Linked DNA regions of Drosophila melanogaster. The protein of the gene in region 1 interacts with the protein of each later gene in a pairwise test. Each region holds a gene or a part of one and is shown on either strand. Other genes may lie near its edges.

What was found.
Region 2: the proteins of su(w[a]) (region 1) and Bug22 interact in binary tests that used the Drosophila melanogaster proteins (3 or more experiments, as listed by UniProt).

Annotation. Positions count from the first base shown.
Region 1 is NC_004354.4:1,031,422-1,036,572, forward strand, and holds the start of su(w[a]) (suppressor of white-apricot), read left to right. Parts: upstream 1-1,894; 5' UTR 1,895-1,980; exon of another isoform or gene 1,981-1,986; intron 1,987-5,151. Other genes in the region: Rpp21 (ribonuclease P/MRP subunit p21), read left to right, coding at 1-32; CG14630 (uncharacterized protein), read left to right, coding at 103-689, 1,002-1,635. UniProt on the Drosophila melanogaster protein: Regulator of pre-mRNA splicing (and, possibly, of other RNA processing events). Regulates its own expression at the level of RNA processing.
Region 2 is NT_033779.5:10,429,256-10,432,653, reverse strand, and holds Bug22 (basal body up regulated gene 22), read left to right. Parts: upstream 1-1,735; 5' UTR 1,736-1,939; coding exon 1,940-2,215; intron 2,216-2,271; coding exon 2,272-2,595; 3' UTR 2,596-2,734; downstream 2,735-3,398. Other genes in the region: TfIIB (transcription factor IIB), read right to left, coding at 129-412, 476-710, 766-1,177, 1,235-1,251; CG5188 (uncharacterized protein), read right to left, coding at 2,743-2,939, 2,995-3,398. UniProt on the Drosophila melanogaster protein: Cilium- and flagellum-specific protein that plays a role in axonemal structure organization and motility. Microtubule inner protein (MIP) part of the dynein-decorated doublet microtubules (DMTs) in cilia axoneme, which is required for motile cilia beating.

The DNA.
Region 1 (5,151 bases):
TCTCGCTCCCCAAAGAGAAAGACGAGCGATAAGCTGAAGCTTTGCTTATCAGCCAGCCTGCCTGTTGTGCCATCACCTGATTGCTCGGCAGTTGAGCCTGGAATGCTTAGCTGTAGGCAACTTATTTCTCGGCTGAGCCTTCTTCGGCAGGCGAGCACATTTGCTTGTGTGCGACTATGCCCCGACTATGTAGAAGTCCAGGAGGAGCAGGGCAATCTCCTGAAGTACCCCCAAGTTTGGCTTAGGGACAACTGTCAGTGTGCCGAGTGCTTCCACGCCGCCACAAGAGCAAGAAAAAGTCACTGGGATCGTGGCCCGCTGAATATACCAGTGTCCCAAGTGGCCTACAACAAGGAGAGGAAACAGTTGGAGATCATCTGGCAGGACAAGCACAGGAGCACCTTCGATCTAGGCTGGCTGAGGGAAAGGGACTTTGGAGAGACTGGCAGAAAGCATTACTTGGAGGAGGTCTACAAGCCACCCGCTCAACTCTGGGGAAAAACGGAGTTCGAGGATGTGAAAAGAGAATTCCAATACGAGGATGTGCTGGAGCAAGATGCAGCCCTGAGAGTTTGGCTTGAGGCACTGGCAGTCCAAGGATTCGCCATTCTGAAAGGGGCACCCAACGACATAAATGTGGCTAAGAAATTGGCCGAACGAATTGGCTACATAAAACGCACCACCTACGGGTAAATATTAACCAATAGATGACATACTTCATCGTACAGTACCAGGGTCATAAAACTCACATTTGCCGAGAGCTGTATTATCTATCAGTCCACTAAATATTATCACTATCGGTTGATTGTTACAGCCAGAATCAGGCAAATATTTTCAACCAGGTGTCCATTTGTACTCATGATAAAGATTTGATTACCACTTACTCACGCTAGATACTACTACAGAATATGCTAGCCACATTTCATAAATTAAAAGGGAAAACACCTTAGTTGCATTACTCAAGTTCAGCTATAAATTATCTACTATCCCGCCTCCCCTAGCGACGTTTTCGAGGTTAAATCCAAACCAAATGCGCGCAACTACGCCTATCTAATGACTCCCCTGCCGCTTCATACCGACATGCCCTACTACGAGTACAAGGCGGGCATCAACATCCTGCACACCCTCGTCCAGTCGGAGTCAAAGGGTGGAGCAAATACGCTGACAGATGGCTTCAACGTGGCCTCGCAGTTGCAAAAACTGCATCCGGAGGACTTCGAGGTGCTCAAGTCGGTGCCCGTTAACTGGTTTGACATCGGACACGACGGCGATGACTCCAAGCCCTTCCACAGTCTCTGGAGAGCGCCAGTAATTTGTTTGGATGTGGATGGCCGGTTCGCGAGGATCAACCAGAACACCACTAAGCGGGACAGCCGGTTCTCCGTTTCCCTGGCGCAGGCCGTGTCCTGGTACAAAGCCTACGATAAGTTCCTTGAGATCGCCCAGTCCGAGGCGGTGGAGTTCAAGACCCAAGCCGGCGATGTGTTCGTCTTCAACAACCTGCGAATGTTGCACGGAAGAACGGCTTACGAGGATGCGCCGGGCAACAAGCGTCATTTGGTGGGCGCCTACGTCGACTGGGACATTATTTACTCCAAGCTGCGAACCCTGAAGTTCCCAAATGCCAAGGATTGACTGAGGGAATGTTGTGAGATTTAGTTGAAATGTAACTGTGAATTAAATGGTTTTTTTTTACACATGGCACAGCGAATAAATTTTGGGAGGTGTATAAATATTGTGTCTCAACTTGCAAATGAATTTCACTTGAAACGTGTTTGAATCCTACGATGAACGGCGCCGATACTATCGATACAAGCCCAGTGGTCGAGCACTTCTCGATACTGCCGTGGTTGAGTAACTCCGCTCTGGCATCGCGATAACATCGATATAACTGCCACCTCTAGCATAATATATGTACTACATTTATACAAATATAAATATAATGGAAATATGAGAATTTAACCAAACACCGCCCGAAATATGAGTGTAGTATGTGCCTATGCAATATTAAGAACAATTAAATAAAATAGCATATTAACTTATGGCAGCACTTTGTTGCTATGTTTATGTTTATGTTTATGCACGCAGTTAGGCCAGGGCGGATGTAACATGATCACCCACTCGAAGGCCACAAAGTATAAGTGCATTGCCCACTCGAAGGCAAAAAGTATAAGTGCATGGTCAGCATTCACACGCCGACCAAATACATATTACATACGTACATACATATCTCGCTCTCCCGATAAGCCTAGATATATAAGATATACATAAGAACGCCGCTCCGCTGCTGGCGTACCCGGCAGCGCAGCTACGCGGATTAGCCTAAGTCCAAATATATTAAAAAACTGTAAAATCAGGGAGAGACTCGGTAGACGTTGAGCTGACAGAACCATTTCTGCCTACTCTAAAATCAAAAGAAGAAATTGAATAAATATATGTCAGCCCGACGGCTGCCTTCAACTTAAAACGGACTTGTGTTCTTAATTGGAGTTCATCATTACATGGCGACCGTGACAGTCGTCCAACGCTGGACGAATTGACCAAAGCTGGTGAAAACAAAGGAACAAAGGAACACTGGACTGGAAGAAGACTGGACTAATTAAATGGAACTGCAAAAACCAAGGAAAAATCTGAGTGAGTAGAGTTCTATTGAGTATGGGCAAACACCGTGGCGGTTTGAAAACTAAGCTGAATAAACGTATAGCCCACGTAAGGTGGCTAATATACGGTCAGCAAACGCCACCGGTTTGGTCGAAAGCTCTAAAGCTACATGCAGAGCTAGACCACTTGTTGCAATATCAGCAAGAATTAAAGACCCATAAGCTCGAGAAAACTCACTCAGATAATATTAAAAATATACCCACAATTAATGAAGTTCCAAAATACCAGGCATGTCCAGCACCAGCACCAGCATTAACAAAACCAAAGAAGTCCTGCCCCCCCTGGCTGCGAAGGAATCTGGAGTCCCCACTGCCTGGGGACTTGTGAGCGACCATCGACGTCTTCAGCGGCGAAGAAATAGACAGCAGCGAGGGAGTGTCAGCGTGCCACCCCCGGCGACGCCCAGCTGACACCCAACAAATAGACAGCAGCGAGGGAGTGTCAGCGTGCCACCCCCGGCGACGCCCAGCTGACACCTGATGAGCATCATCAACAGCAGAATATAATAATAAATATATATAAATATAAAGTAAATATAAAATATATATAGATAAGAAAAATTGTAAGAAATATTGTAAAACGGAGCATATACTATTATGCCCTGTTAACCCAATATGGCCCGTGAAGCCATAGCTAGAATCAGGCAGGCAACAATGTAAAATACAATTTTTTTTTACTCTTGCGAACATTGAAAGATTTTATAAATAGATAATTCCAAACATAAATGTCTATAGAGACAAATGAAATAAGTAAAACTGAAAATAAAAGTATATACAAAGGAAATTTTCTATTCTATTCTCCAAAATATAAAATTAGTATACCCAAAATGGGTCTAATAGACACTAAAACTGTGGACTCTACAGCCAATGTAATAAATAAAGTAGAAGTCCAAAATGCAGACTTGTTCTGGATAACCATAATACTAATTGTAATTGCATTAATTATGGTATCCAATGCATTAATAAAAATATACAAACTGCATAACAAGTGTCTTAAGAAACGATACCGTAGCACTGCTAACGGTATAGATAATATTTAAGGAAGATCTTTAATAAAGTCAATTATGAATGAAAATATGAGAAAAATTATATGAAAAAAAAAAAAATAATAAATAAAAAAAAATATAAAACGTAATATTGAATTTATCTACATTAAAAAAAAAATATATACAAATGAATAAATTTGAAGTTATGAGTATACCACAGCATGGACTGGGAAAAGCTTGTTGATCAGATAAAAGATCAAAATGAAAATTTCAGAAAATCCTATAAGTGCTTAACGCAAAACAGATCAACACAAGCTGTAACAATCAATAGGAATGCCCAAGTCTTGGTAAATAGTTATAATGAAATCAGAGAGTTGATCCAACAAAATAGAAAGAATTTGGAACGCAAACAGTGTGCTAAGGCTTTGAACCTACTGGTGACATTAAGAGAAAAATTAATATTTATAAAAAATAAATTCAGTCTCCAGATAGAAATTCCAACCATAGTAAACACCCCACTAAGAATAAATTTGAATGAAGACAGCACTAACTCTGACGAGGAAGATAGGACTATAGTCAAGGAAGACATTAAAGAGGAAGATCTTCACGATCTAACTATACCAGCAAAATTAATGCTGAAGAACGACGATAAAACAAATAACGCAGCCGACTCCGAAAATAACTTAACCATGGCAGAAGAAGCAGCTGCCATTAGGTCTTACATTAGGGAAGTCGCCTGCACAGTGCCAGAATTTGATGGGCAAAAGATCCATTTACAAAGATTCATTAAGGCAATCAAATTGGTAGACCTAGCTAAGGGACCATTTGAAGACATTGCAGTTGAGGTCATTAAGTCAAAAATAGTTGGCACAATTTTGAACTCAGTTGACAATGAAACGACAATTCCAGCAATTATAAACAAATTGCAGAAAGTAGTTGTCGGTGAGACATCCAGTAATGTCAAAGCAAAGCTAGCAACAGTTCAGCAGAGAGGTAAAACTGCAACGCAATTTACCGCTGAAGTTGATAGCCTGAGAAAACTTTTAGAAGCTTCCTATATCGATGAGGGTATACCTCTAGAACATGCCACTGGTCTAAGCACCAAAGAGGCAATTGAAACCATGATACATCGTGCTGAGCACGAAAGTATCAAAACAGTACTGGAAGCAGGGACTTGCACCACTATGGATGCAGCGATAAGCGCATACATAAGAACGAGTACAAGAGTTACCGGTGACATCAATAAAGTGATGTACTTTAGAGGTAACAGACCCAATAGAGGATACGGAAATGCCAATAGAGGTAGTAACCGCGGTAGAGGCTTTAATAACAATAGTATTAGAGGCAACTACCATAACGGTTACCAAAATAACGGTTACCAAAATAACGGTTACCAGAATAACGGTTATCAAAACCGCTATAATGGAAATAATAACCGTTATAATGGCTATAACAGAGGCCGTTATAATGGAAACAGAGGCCGTAACAACAGTCAGAACAACTAC
Region 2 (3,398 bases), on another chromosome or scaffold:
TCCAACAGTTCTATTTGAATATTAGTTATGCTAACTTTATTTAATAAAATCGTAATTTGTGATTAAATTAGGAATTTTCCTTCACTTAACGTTAGCGTTAGTATTGAGCATCGGATCTACGAAAAGAATTACATCTGTGGTAACTGATCAATGGGAGTGGTAAACTTAAAGTCCTCGGGGAAAAGCTTAGCTGCGTGCGGATACATAAGTTTGTAGGACTGTCTGATGGTGACGTCGGCCACACCGGCTATATCACCGATTTCCTTCTGGCTTCTCTTATGCTCGGATGCTTGTGAGGCCATATAGATTGCGGCTGCGGCCACAGAAATTGGCGAACGTCCCGGTACAATATCCATCTCGACGGCTTTCTTTGCAATGTGCGTGGCAGCGCGTTGGACCATGTTCGGCAGGTCTGATAAGAATTATAGGTATTAATCCTGCTACCTTCAAGTACAGAAAGTGTAAAAACACTTACCCAAGTTGGCGCAGAAGCGGCACATGAAGTCCGCAGTGGTTATGAGATCCACACTTGTCTCGAGAGCCTTCAATGTTAGCTTAAAGCAACGGCCAATCTCTTTTTTGCTGATCTTGCTGACAGCACATATTTCCTTGAATGTGCGAGGAACTCCTTCTTGGCGACAAGCTATATACAGACAAGCGGATGCCTTGGCATCGTTGGAACGACCCTTGAGGTTCTTTCCATCATGAACCTACAAGAAAACGGCATGAGGTCTCAACCAAATCAACCGCGAACTCGAATTTCACCTGTTTGAACAAGTTGTTGGCCCGATCGACAATGGTTTTGGGCAAGTTAATGCGATCGGCCATCGAGGATATCTCCTTAAAGGCTGATATGAGGGAGCGATCCGAGCTGCTCATGGTGCGTCTGTTTTGGTACTTGGGTGCTCCAAAGGCGTCAAAGGATGCGGATCCTGTGCCCGGACCAATTATGGTGGACAAGTCGCCGCCACTGAGCAGCGGATTCTCCGGTCCACCGACACGACTGGGATCCACGCCGCTCTTCTCGTTGCTAAAGGTACGCCACTCGGAGCCCACATCAATTACGCGGTCCCCAACCACCAGACCACACTCGGAGCAAATCATATCGCCAGCCCTGTAGTCCTCGATGAGCGGAGATTCGGGGTGTGCGTAGCAGCACACCTTGTTGTTGTCCAGTCTGCAAGCAGTAAGCCATTATTGGTGTTCACAAATTGTTAGGAAACCCGACTTTTACCTCGATGTCGATGCCATTTGTACTCTGTAAGCTATATATTTTTTTAATACTCACATCAACTGGTGATGTGACTTTGCCCGATAACTCGATAGCTGCTTAGGTTTTTGCTTCACAGAAATCGGAATATGGGAAAGTCAACTTTAATAATTATTTTTCTGTATTTTAAGTTTTCTTGCTGTTAATAATAACTTAACCACCTTTAGCATTTTAGCAATCTGTTTTACTTTCACAATTAATGTTCTATATTTTAAGTTTCCATGCTGTTAATAATAAGCACCATTTTAACTTGATTAAAAGTTATTAATTCATAAATAAAAATTTTTAACAATAATAGATGTTTTTTGTCTAGCCAATTCCAAATTAACGCATGTTATTATTTATTTTTTAAGCTGTTTCTTTTTCACCGTTCCATAAGCGAGACAGGCCTTCAACTTCGCAATTTCGCACCCCACATAAACATGCGAGCATGTTCAAGCATTTGGAAACGTGGCAACCCTGCTCGCTTATTGTTATGGCAACAACAGGATGCCGTGCTAAACAAACTCATTGACATGAGAAAATAATCAAGTTCCGCATTGATGTTCGTAGTTTGTACGAGTTTCGGCTGTGCGAAAAATTTACGGCCAACCTTAACTGGCCCTATATAAATTTCGAAGAGACTATACTCTCCGTGGGGCGAACCGGTCACTGCACAGCAGTCGCGAAATGTTCAAAAACACTTTCCAATCGGGATTCCTATCAATTCTGTACAGTATTGGCTCAAAGCCACTGCAGCTGTGGGATAAGAAGGTGCGCAATGGACACATCAAGCGGATCACCGACAACGACATACAAAGCCTCGTGTTGGAAATAGTCGGCACCAATGTCAGCACCACGTTCATAACATGTCCGGCAGATCCGAAGAAGACGCTGGGCATCAAGCTGCCCTTCCTGGTGATGATCATCAAGAACATGAAGAAGTACTTCACCTTCGAGGTTCAGGTAAGCTTCGTCATCTTGCATAAGACAGTAACTCCATGATTTCCGCCCCTAATCAGGTTCTCGATGACAAGAACGTGCGGCGAAGGTTTAGGGCCAGTAACTACCAGTCGACAACTCGTGTCAAGCCTTTCATTTGCACCATGCCCATGCGATTGGACGAGGGATGGAACCAGATCCAGTTCAACCTGTCCGACTTCACGCGTCGCGCATACGGCACCAATTATGTGGAGACACTCCGTGTACAGATTCATGCAAATTGCCGCATCAGACGCGTCTACTTCTCCGATCGTCTCTACTCGGAGGACGAGCTGCCGCCGGAGTTTAAGCTCTTCCTTCCCATTCAGAAGCCGGTGCAGAAGTCCAATGCGATTTGTAGCTAAATTCTGTATGCATCATCAATCAATTAGAGCACCTAACCAGACGGAGTCGACGATTAAAACGGCACAAAATGCACAAGACTGCCATCCAGCACTCATTCAACACTTTATGGGAATCACGAATAAAAATTGCATCATGTACATAAAATTCTATTGATCTCTTGTAAGTATCTCCGTTCCCGTCTCGGTTATCAGAATGGTGTGCTCGAACTGGGCGCTACGTGCGCCATCCAAACTAATGGCCGTCCAGCCATCTTGCAGCACTGCTATTTCTGCTCCGCCCAGGGACAGAATGGGTTCAATGGTGAAGGTCATGCCGGGCTGCATCTTTCCAGGAATCTCATTATCTACGATGTGCAGTTTGATTAGCAATGGAGGAGTCTCTTAAACAGTCTTACTTACAATAGTGTAGTATCTCCGGGGGGCCGTGGAAATAGCTACCGATTCCATGTCCAATGAAAGCAGCTATCGATGCCAGATCATGTTCGTCGCAATATCTGTCTATGAACTTTCCAATCTCATTGAATTCCACACCGGGGCCGCACAGCGAAATGCACTGATCCAAACAGGATTTAGTGGCCTCCACGAGAAAGCCACCCCGTTCGTCCACGTTGCCCACCCGAAATGTTTCCGAACAGTCGCCATGGTAGCCGTTCAAAAAGACTGTGACATCAATATTTATAATATCCCCATCGGCCAACTGCCGGTCATCCGGAATTCCGTGACAGGCGATATTGTTGATCGACGTGCAAATGGACTTTGGGAAGCCGGCGTATCTCAGCGGCGACGGATACGCTTTGGACTCG